Linked DNA regions of Macaca mulatta. The protein of the gene in region 2 purifies or fractionates together with the protein of the main gene of each other region. This does not show direct contact. Links are inferred from orthologs where the notes say so. Each region holds a gene or a part of one and is shown on either strand. Other genes may lie near its edges.

Region 1 (3,649 bases), on a different chromosome or scaffold from region 2:
TCTGTTCACCTTGGCCTTCAAAAATGCTGGGGTTACAGCGCAAGCCACTGCACCCAGCCACTAAATATTCTCTTTAAGTAAGTAATTTTTGGACTAAGACTGGATAGGTCAACACAGTAGCCTTGCAGCATGGCTGAATGAGTGCTCGCTCAGTATCTAATGCTGGTCTTGACTAGCTACGCTCCTGGGTGCCTTCCCTGCCACCCAGCACACTCTTTCTTATTCCTTCAAGGATCTGCATCACCAACCAGGTATGGCCAAACTGAGTGACCACAGCCCCTGTCACACACCAGACGACTTCAGAGTGATGCACACTTCTGGTTCCCCATAGAGTTGATGATCCAAACCAAGTACTAAGAGTAGGGCTTTAGAACACCTAGCACTTACCTGAGTCTCCTATCCTTTGTTTCCTTCAGGTTTATCTTTACTTCTTGTTTTTAAACATTTTCTCATCATAGCAACAGTGTATTTTAGAGAACTTAGAAACCATCATGCAGTCCCACTGCCCAGAGAAGACTGCCAGCATCCTGGGGCACTAAGCCAGAGCCTGCTGGCACCTCACCCAACTACTTGCTTGTCCTGCACCCCTTAAGGTCTGGGCATTCCTTTGGGTGTCTGCCAGGTTTCTGAGTGGCGCTTGGTGTGTTTCAAATCTCATTCACCAAAAACTATTACATACACTCACAAAGTCATGAGAGTCCAATAGACCCCAAGCAGCAAATTAACAGCACTTTAATTTCCTATAGTTGGAATATGACCCACTTCTTAGCAGCTAACCTGTGGATTTGAATAAATTGAGGTAACAGAACAATATACTTAATATGTTGTTTTATAATTATAAAAACAATAAGTGATTATTAAAGAAAAAACAAAAAAGAAGAGAGAAGTAAAGAACAAAGTGAACTTGTACAATCTTATCCACTTAGTACCGTGAACAGCTTGATACAAACTCCTCTAAATCCCTTTCTTGTATATATATCTAAATTTAACCCAAAATAGCACAGACATGTGATTTGATTATACCTTCCTCCCACAAGTTTCAGGCCAACAAATGATGCCTCACCACAATACCACTGCACACCCATTAAGATGATTACTATTATTATTTTAGACAGGGAAAATGTGTTGGCAAGGATATACAGAAGTTGGAACTGCTGAGCATTGCTGGGAAGAATATAAAATGGTGCAGCCTCCTGGAATACAGTATGGTGGCTCATCAAAAAGGTAAGCATAGAATACAATATGATCCAGCAAATCCACTTCTAGGTATATGCCCAAAAGAGTTAAAGCAGGGTCTCAAAGAAATCTTTGTACACCCATGTGAACAGCAGCATTATTCACAATAGCCTAAAGGTAGAAGCAACCCAAATGTTCATCAATGGATGAATGGATAAACACAAGTCATATATACACATGGTGGACAATTACTCAGTTTTTAAAATGGAGGTGTTTCTAACATATGCTACAACGTGGATGAACCTTGAAAATAATACGCTAAGTGAAAAAAGCCAGGTAAAAGGACAAACATTTTGTGGTTCCATGTATATGAAATATCTTGAAAAGGCAAATTAATAGAGACAGATTAGAATGGCAGTTGTCAGGGGCTGGGAAATGAGGAGTCACTGCTTAACAGTTACATAGTTACTCTGGGATAATAAAAAGTTCTGGAACCATATAGTGGTAATGGTTGCACAGTATTGTGAATGTTCTTAATGCCACTGTATCAGACACTTAAAAGTTGTTAAAATGGTAAATTTGGTTATGTATATTTTACCACAATGAAAAAAAGAAGAAAGAAAAATATGATGCCCCAATTATAACTGTTTCCATGAAAGTCCTATACCATGATTTCTGGAAAATTCTTTTAAGGGGAGTCATGGAGAATGTTCACTGAGAAGTACAAGATAAACATCTGGCACAAGCCCAGTCCAGTCCAAAGCCACTGTGCTCAAGTCTGCAAACCCACAGAGGGGTGCCACAGGTGCTCTGCCTCTCGGTGTTAGCCTACAATGTCACTGACCTGGGGTGCATGAACAAGGTTCATCTCCAACAGCCATGTCTGGAGGAGTCCCTCAGCTGGGCGATTATTCTTCAAGGCATCCAATAAGAAGGAAGTACACTGCTGAATTAAACTGTTTTCCATGAAAATGTCCACAATCTGAAACATATCCAAGCCACATTTTCACTCAGTGTGTTTTCATTCATAGTGTTTCATTTTCGTATTGAAATAGTTCCTGAAATATTATCTCATTATCTCATTTAGAAATTCAACAATTAGTTCCTTCCTTTGTTTTTTGTTTTGTTTTGTTTTTGAGATGGAGTCTCACTCTGTCACCCAGGTTGGAGTGCGAAGGCACAATCTCAGCTCACTCCAACCTCCGTCCTCCACCTCCTGGGTTCAAGCGATTCTCCTGCCTCAGCTTCCCAAGTGGTTGAGATTACAGGCACCTGTCACTACACCCAGCTAATTTTTGTATTTTTAGTAGAGACAGGGTTTCACCGTGTTGGTCAGGCTGGTGTCGAACTCCTGACAGGTGATCCGCCCGCCTTGGCCTCCCAAAGTGCTGGGACTACAGGCGTGAGCCACTGCTCCTGGCCCCTTTGCATTTTCTTATGTCATCACAATTCACATAGAGCCAGGTGTGGTGGCGTGTGCCTAGAGTCCCAGCTACTCAGGAGGCTGAGGTGGATGCATGTATTCCTTGAGCCCAGGAGTTAAGACTATTCTGGGTAACACAGAGACCTCATCTCAACAACAACAACAACACAATTCACGTAATTTATGGCCATTAATTTATTGATAATCTTGTGAAATCATATCACCTACATCACACCTATCAGTGAGGTATTTTACCGAAGTATATGAAAGGGAGTGACTTTTATAACATATGAACCCCCAGAATCCTCTCAAGTGATCCAAGCAGTAATCATACATTACTTAATCACATCCTAGAGGCAGCTGTGATGCTTAGCTTTAGGTGTCAGTTTGACTGGATTAAGGAACACATAGAGAGCAGGTAAAGCATTCCTTCTGGGTGTGTTTGTGAGGGCGTTCCCAGAGAAGACTGGCATGTGAGTTGGGGGACCAAGTAGGAATGATCCACTCTCAATGTCAGGGAGCACCATCCAATCAGCTGGGGGCACAAAAAAGGAAAGAACAGATTTCTTCTCTCTTTCTCCTGGAGCTGGGACTTTCTCCTCCTCCTACCTCTGGACATCAGAACTCCAGGCTTCCCAGCCTTTGGACTCCAGGACTTACCCCAAAGGCCCCCCAGGGTTCTCAGGCCATTGGCCTCAGACTGAGAGTTACGCCATCGGCCTCCCTGGTTCTGAGACTTTCAAACTTAGATTGAGCCACGCTACCGGAATCCAACGTCTCCTCTAGCTTGCAGACAGTCTATCACAGGACTTCTCAGCCTCCATAATCATGAGCCAATTCTCCCTCATATATCTGAGATGGGGTCTCACTCTATTGCCTAGGCTAAAGCAGTGACAAGGTCACCACTCACTGCAGCCTCAACCTTCAAGGCTCAAGCGATCCTCCCATCTCGGCCTCCTGAGTAGCTGGGACCACAGGTGTGCACCACCACGCCTGGCTAAGTTTTAAAAATTTTTTGGTAGAGATGGGGTCTCATTATGTTGCCCAGGC
Region 2 (4,293 bases):
GCCTTGTAACTCCTTTCTCCCACTAACAGTAGCTGGAATTCACTGGATACTTACTATATAACTGTAAGCACTTTATAGACACTCTTTAATGTAATCCTAAAGATGCCACATAGCATTATAAATTATATTATGCAACTTTTACAAAGGAGAAAACTGAGGCCGGGCAGTGGTGGTAGTTATATACATTGAGATCACAAAGCTAAACTCACACTCAAGCAGTTTAGGATAGCATAGAATCTTTTTTTTTTTTTTTTTTTTTTTTGAGACGGAGTCTGGCTCTGTCGCCCGGGCTAGAGTGCAGTGGCCGGATCTCAGCTCACTGCAAGCTCCGCCCCCCGGGTTTACGCCATTCTCCTGCCTCAGCCTCCCGAGTAGCTAGGACTACAGGCGCCCGCTGCCTCGCCCGGCTAGTTTTTTTTGTATTTTTTAGTAGAGACGGGGTTTCACCGTGTTCGCCAGGATGGTCTCGATCTCCTGACCTCGTGATCCGCCCGTCTCGGCCTCCCAAAGTGCTGGGATTACAGGCTTGAGCCACCGCGCCCGGCCAGGATAGCATAGAGTCTTAACCACTGGAGCATATCCTAAAAAAAAAGAAAGAAGGAAAAAGAAAACTAAGAGAGAAAAAGTGTCCAATCAGTTCTCTAATCCCCAAAGGAAATGCTGACCACTGCATATTACCAACCTCAATTACACTGTCAGGAATCTGGCTTTAAGTCACCAAATGCTTAGTTCACTAAGAAAGTCCTTCCTAGGAACTAAGTCAGCAACCATTTCTTTCCTTCCCTTTGCTGAAGGCTTGATGCACAAAGGACGCAAGTATCCAACTCTATTCTCTTCCTTTTACTTTCCCTAACTGCCTGTCACCAAGATCTGTCAGTTCTACACAGGACCCTTGGATCTGACATTTTTGCCCATTTCTCTGTCAAACGTGAGCATCTACTACATGTCAGACACACTGCTAGGTAGTGGAGATAAAACAGTAAGGGTAACACTGTCCTTGAATCAGGACAATCTTCCAACTATAGATCTTGGGTCCTGCTTCTCCCAAATCTGTTCTACCTGGGACAGCCACAACTGCCTGTCTCTTACCGCACCACACCCCGGCTAAAACAACTAAACACTACAACAGAATGTGGTAGACTTGGGGCTCATCTATTAACTCGTGCTTTTTAAAGCAAGTTATTTCTCTCTAGGATTGTTTCTCTTCTACTAAACGAGGAAGGTAAACTAAGGATCTAAGAAGTCAATTTTAAAATTCTCAGACAAATGTTAGAGACCACCCAATGAAAATATCTCCTAATCACTTAAGGCCAACTTCATCTCGCAATCACAGTCCAGTTCAGTCCAACCTACTTGCTATAAAGTTGCATATTTGGGCATATTACATGTTCCCACTAAGTTCTTATTAGGGGACTGATTTGCTTAGGAAGCAACATGGTGCAGTCAAAAACTCAGAGGCTGCAAACTAGCAGCACCCTCCCCAATCCATCCATCGAAAGGTTCTGCCTGGCTGGCATAGTGACTTGAGATTGCTGGGTCTGAATGCCTTTACACAGAGCACTACTATAGTGCACCAAAGTCCCAGTCTCCAACACTTCTACTGTCTCATGTCAAGTCAGCTTCTCTCGTATATGTTACCTACTTGGCCCCTTAAGGTTTGAAATCAGATTAGTGTAGACACTACTCCTATATGCCCCAATAGTGCGCTATTCTCCCTTAGTTGGAAATTTTTAAGTGAATGAAAAGCCGTATTTCATTTCTTCTGGCTGAATTTCCTACTTCTCTGTATTATTAAATAGGTCTTTTCCACTCATGATCCTAAGCATCACACACAGGTAAGCATCCAAAAGTCAAACTGCCATCCTACCTGCCCCATTTTTACTTGAGTTTGGCTGAGAACATTCTCTATTCACCTCTTCATCCCTCCCCGATTAGTTTAGGCTAATCGTGGGTTCTACTTAGGCAATATTGCCTACCAAAGCTGTTCCCAGAGGGAGAGCTCCATAAGTCCTAGCTGTAAATCAATCGCTCAACCATGGTAAACTCCTATCCCGCTTGGCAGTTCTTTCTCCAGACCTAGACCATCTTTCCTGAGTTCCCTACTCACTCCTTCCTCCTCGTAATCCAACACTCTGTACACCTTAAGTGCTTAAATGCTGAACTGCATTGCTACTTTTGTTTGTATCTCTCAAAAAACAGTATTTCCATTCTTATTTTTTTTCTGCCCTCCTTTTCTAATAACTGGAGTTCTGTGCTCGGCTCAGACTTGCTTATAAGTCTGGAAAAACTGCGCCAATGCGGTTGCTTCAGAGACCGGACTAAAGGCACAGCAAGAGCTTAATGAAAAGTTGCTGAATTGAACGGGCTTCTTCCGGCTCCGAAGCCTGCCACCCTATACTTGCTTTCTCGCTCCGCCCGCGCCCAGAAGCACTCAAACACGCTGAGAACCGAGCAGGCTTCTCGAGCCTAGGTTTCTGCATGACTGGGCCAGGGTCTCGTTTCCTCTTTGCACTGCTCCCTAACCTCCTAATTCAGCAAGGAGCACAAGTCACACAGAACCTCTCGGACCCACTGTGGGCCGAGTTTCCAGACAAGTCCTCTCGCCCCAAACGCGACCGCACTCTCACCCGGACCCCCCGGCGGCTCGCCGTGCGGCTGGGGCCCGGGGGCGCCGCCGTCCAGGATGGCGAAGGCCTCGTCGTTCTCGATGCCCGCAATTTCGCTCTCCTGCTGCGCCAAGAAGGCCGCGGCCGGGTCTTCTTCGCCGGCGCCGGCCACTCCGTTCCCCAGCGCGGGACCGCCAGGGGCGCCAGCAGGGGCGCCGAATGGATCCAGCTCAGCCATGGCGGGTAATTCAACGGCACGGACACCAACGGTGAGAGAAAAATCAACCGACCCACCGACACCACACCCGGCAGCCACCGCTGTGGTGCCGACTGGGAGAGGAGGACAAGCGGGAGGAGGGAGAAGGGGGAAGCGGAAGCCCTACCAGTGTATCCGGTCGGTCTAGGCGGTGTTGGAGACCAAAAAAGGAACAACCAATCAGAGGACAGCAATGGTTCAGGAGCTACCCAATCAGCAAGTGGAGGGGCGGGCCCCCGAAAACAACTCGTGACTGGGGTAGCGCGGGAGGTGAAGGAGGTGAGCTGCACGGGCCCCGGGAGGCGGAAGTGCTGCCTGACAGGGAACGTCCTACCGTCCCGGCCTGCTGGAGCTGGACTGACCAGGGACGGCCACCCCTGAGGGGACTCGAGTGCTGTACTGGGAGGTGAGGTGAAGTTAGGCGGCGACGATTGGCCGATTACTAAAGAGGCATGCCACTTAGGCTTTCTGAACCTCAGTTTCCTCATTCTTAAAATGGAAACAAGAACCCTGCTCTTGCCCCCCTCCCGGGATTGTTAGAAGATTGAATCCTTAAAAAACGAAGAAGAAGAAGAAGATTGAATCCTTTTATGTGTTTGCCCTGGCTTTATAAATTTAAAATATTTAACTCTTTCAGCCAGCCTGGATTATTTGCTCCCTTAGAGCCCACAGATTTACTGTAATTGATTCAGTCCACTCCGATTTTTCTCGCCCATAAGTATTTTTATTTAAAAATGAATATATCTTATTTTCTTCAACGAAGCACTTTTGCAGCCATTACGTCTTTTCAGAGCTAGACAGAAGTTACTAAACCTGGAAAATTCCTTAAGGATCACTTGCTTCAAAGGGAAACACGGTGGCCCTGCTGTTCAAGGGGCGTCAGTCACCCAGGGAGTCAGTGACCAAGAGGAAACGCCTGTCTCCTGGGGACTTCCAAGATACTAGCTACAGTCTCTTGTGTTTACACCTTTCCTCGCTAAGGACAGCAGGAAAAAGAAAGTTCAGTGTTTCTTTTTAAATCGGGGAGATGTTAATAGCTACATGGCTGATTTTGTCTACACCGTAGAAATAACAGTGATTCCAGTTAATCATGCTCATGTTGAGGGGGTGCGCTGATGCAGGGGCCACCAGAAGACCTCCTTCACTACCACCACCACCTCCCTAAGAAATGAAAAGCCAAAAAAAGAAACCAAAAAACCAGCCAGAGGTCAACAAGAAGCTTCCAGAGATAGCAGGGGACAAGAAAGTTTTTTTTTTTTTAAAAAAACGCACATATCTTTGATGACAAAAAAAGGGATAGTTATGAAGGAAAAATGAAGCAAATAAAAACTATTTAAAGCCTATGTTTACTTAAAGCATAATTTTAAAGTCATTTAAAGTACGAGCTATAGGAAAGTATTGAAGAAAAACATTTAAGAAAGTTAAAATGTT

Evidence for each region. The genes of interacting proteins can lie anywhere in the genome.
Region 1: the proteins of CLTA (region 2) and CLTCL1 purify together in Homo sapiens (co-immunoprecipitation; 3 studies listed by BioGRID and IntAct, with this or other methods). This does not show direct contact. The link is inferred for Macaca mulatta from reciprocal best matches to the Homo sapiens genes CLTA and CLTCL1.

Annotation. Positions count from the first base shown.
Region 1 is NC_133415.1:33,476,289-33,479,937, reverse strand, and holds part of CLTCL1 (clathrin heavy chain 2), read right to left. Parts: intron 2,159-3,649; coding exon 2,021-2,158; intron 1-2,020. UniProt on the Homo sapiens protein: Clathrin is the major protein of the polyhedral coat of coated pits and vesicles. Two different adapter protein complexes link the clathrin lattice either to the plasma membrane or to the trans-Golgi network.
Region 2 is NC_133420.1:63,449,009-63,453,301, forward strand, and holds the start of CLTA (clathrin light chain A), read right to left. Parts: upstream 2,939-4,293; 5' UTR 2,845-2,938; coding exon 2,628-2,844; intron 1-2,627. UniProt on the Homo sapiens protein: Clathrin is the major protein of the polyhedral coat of coated pits and vesicles.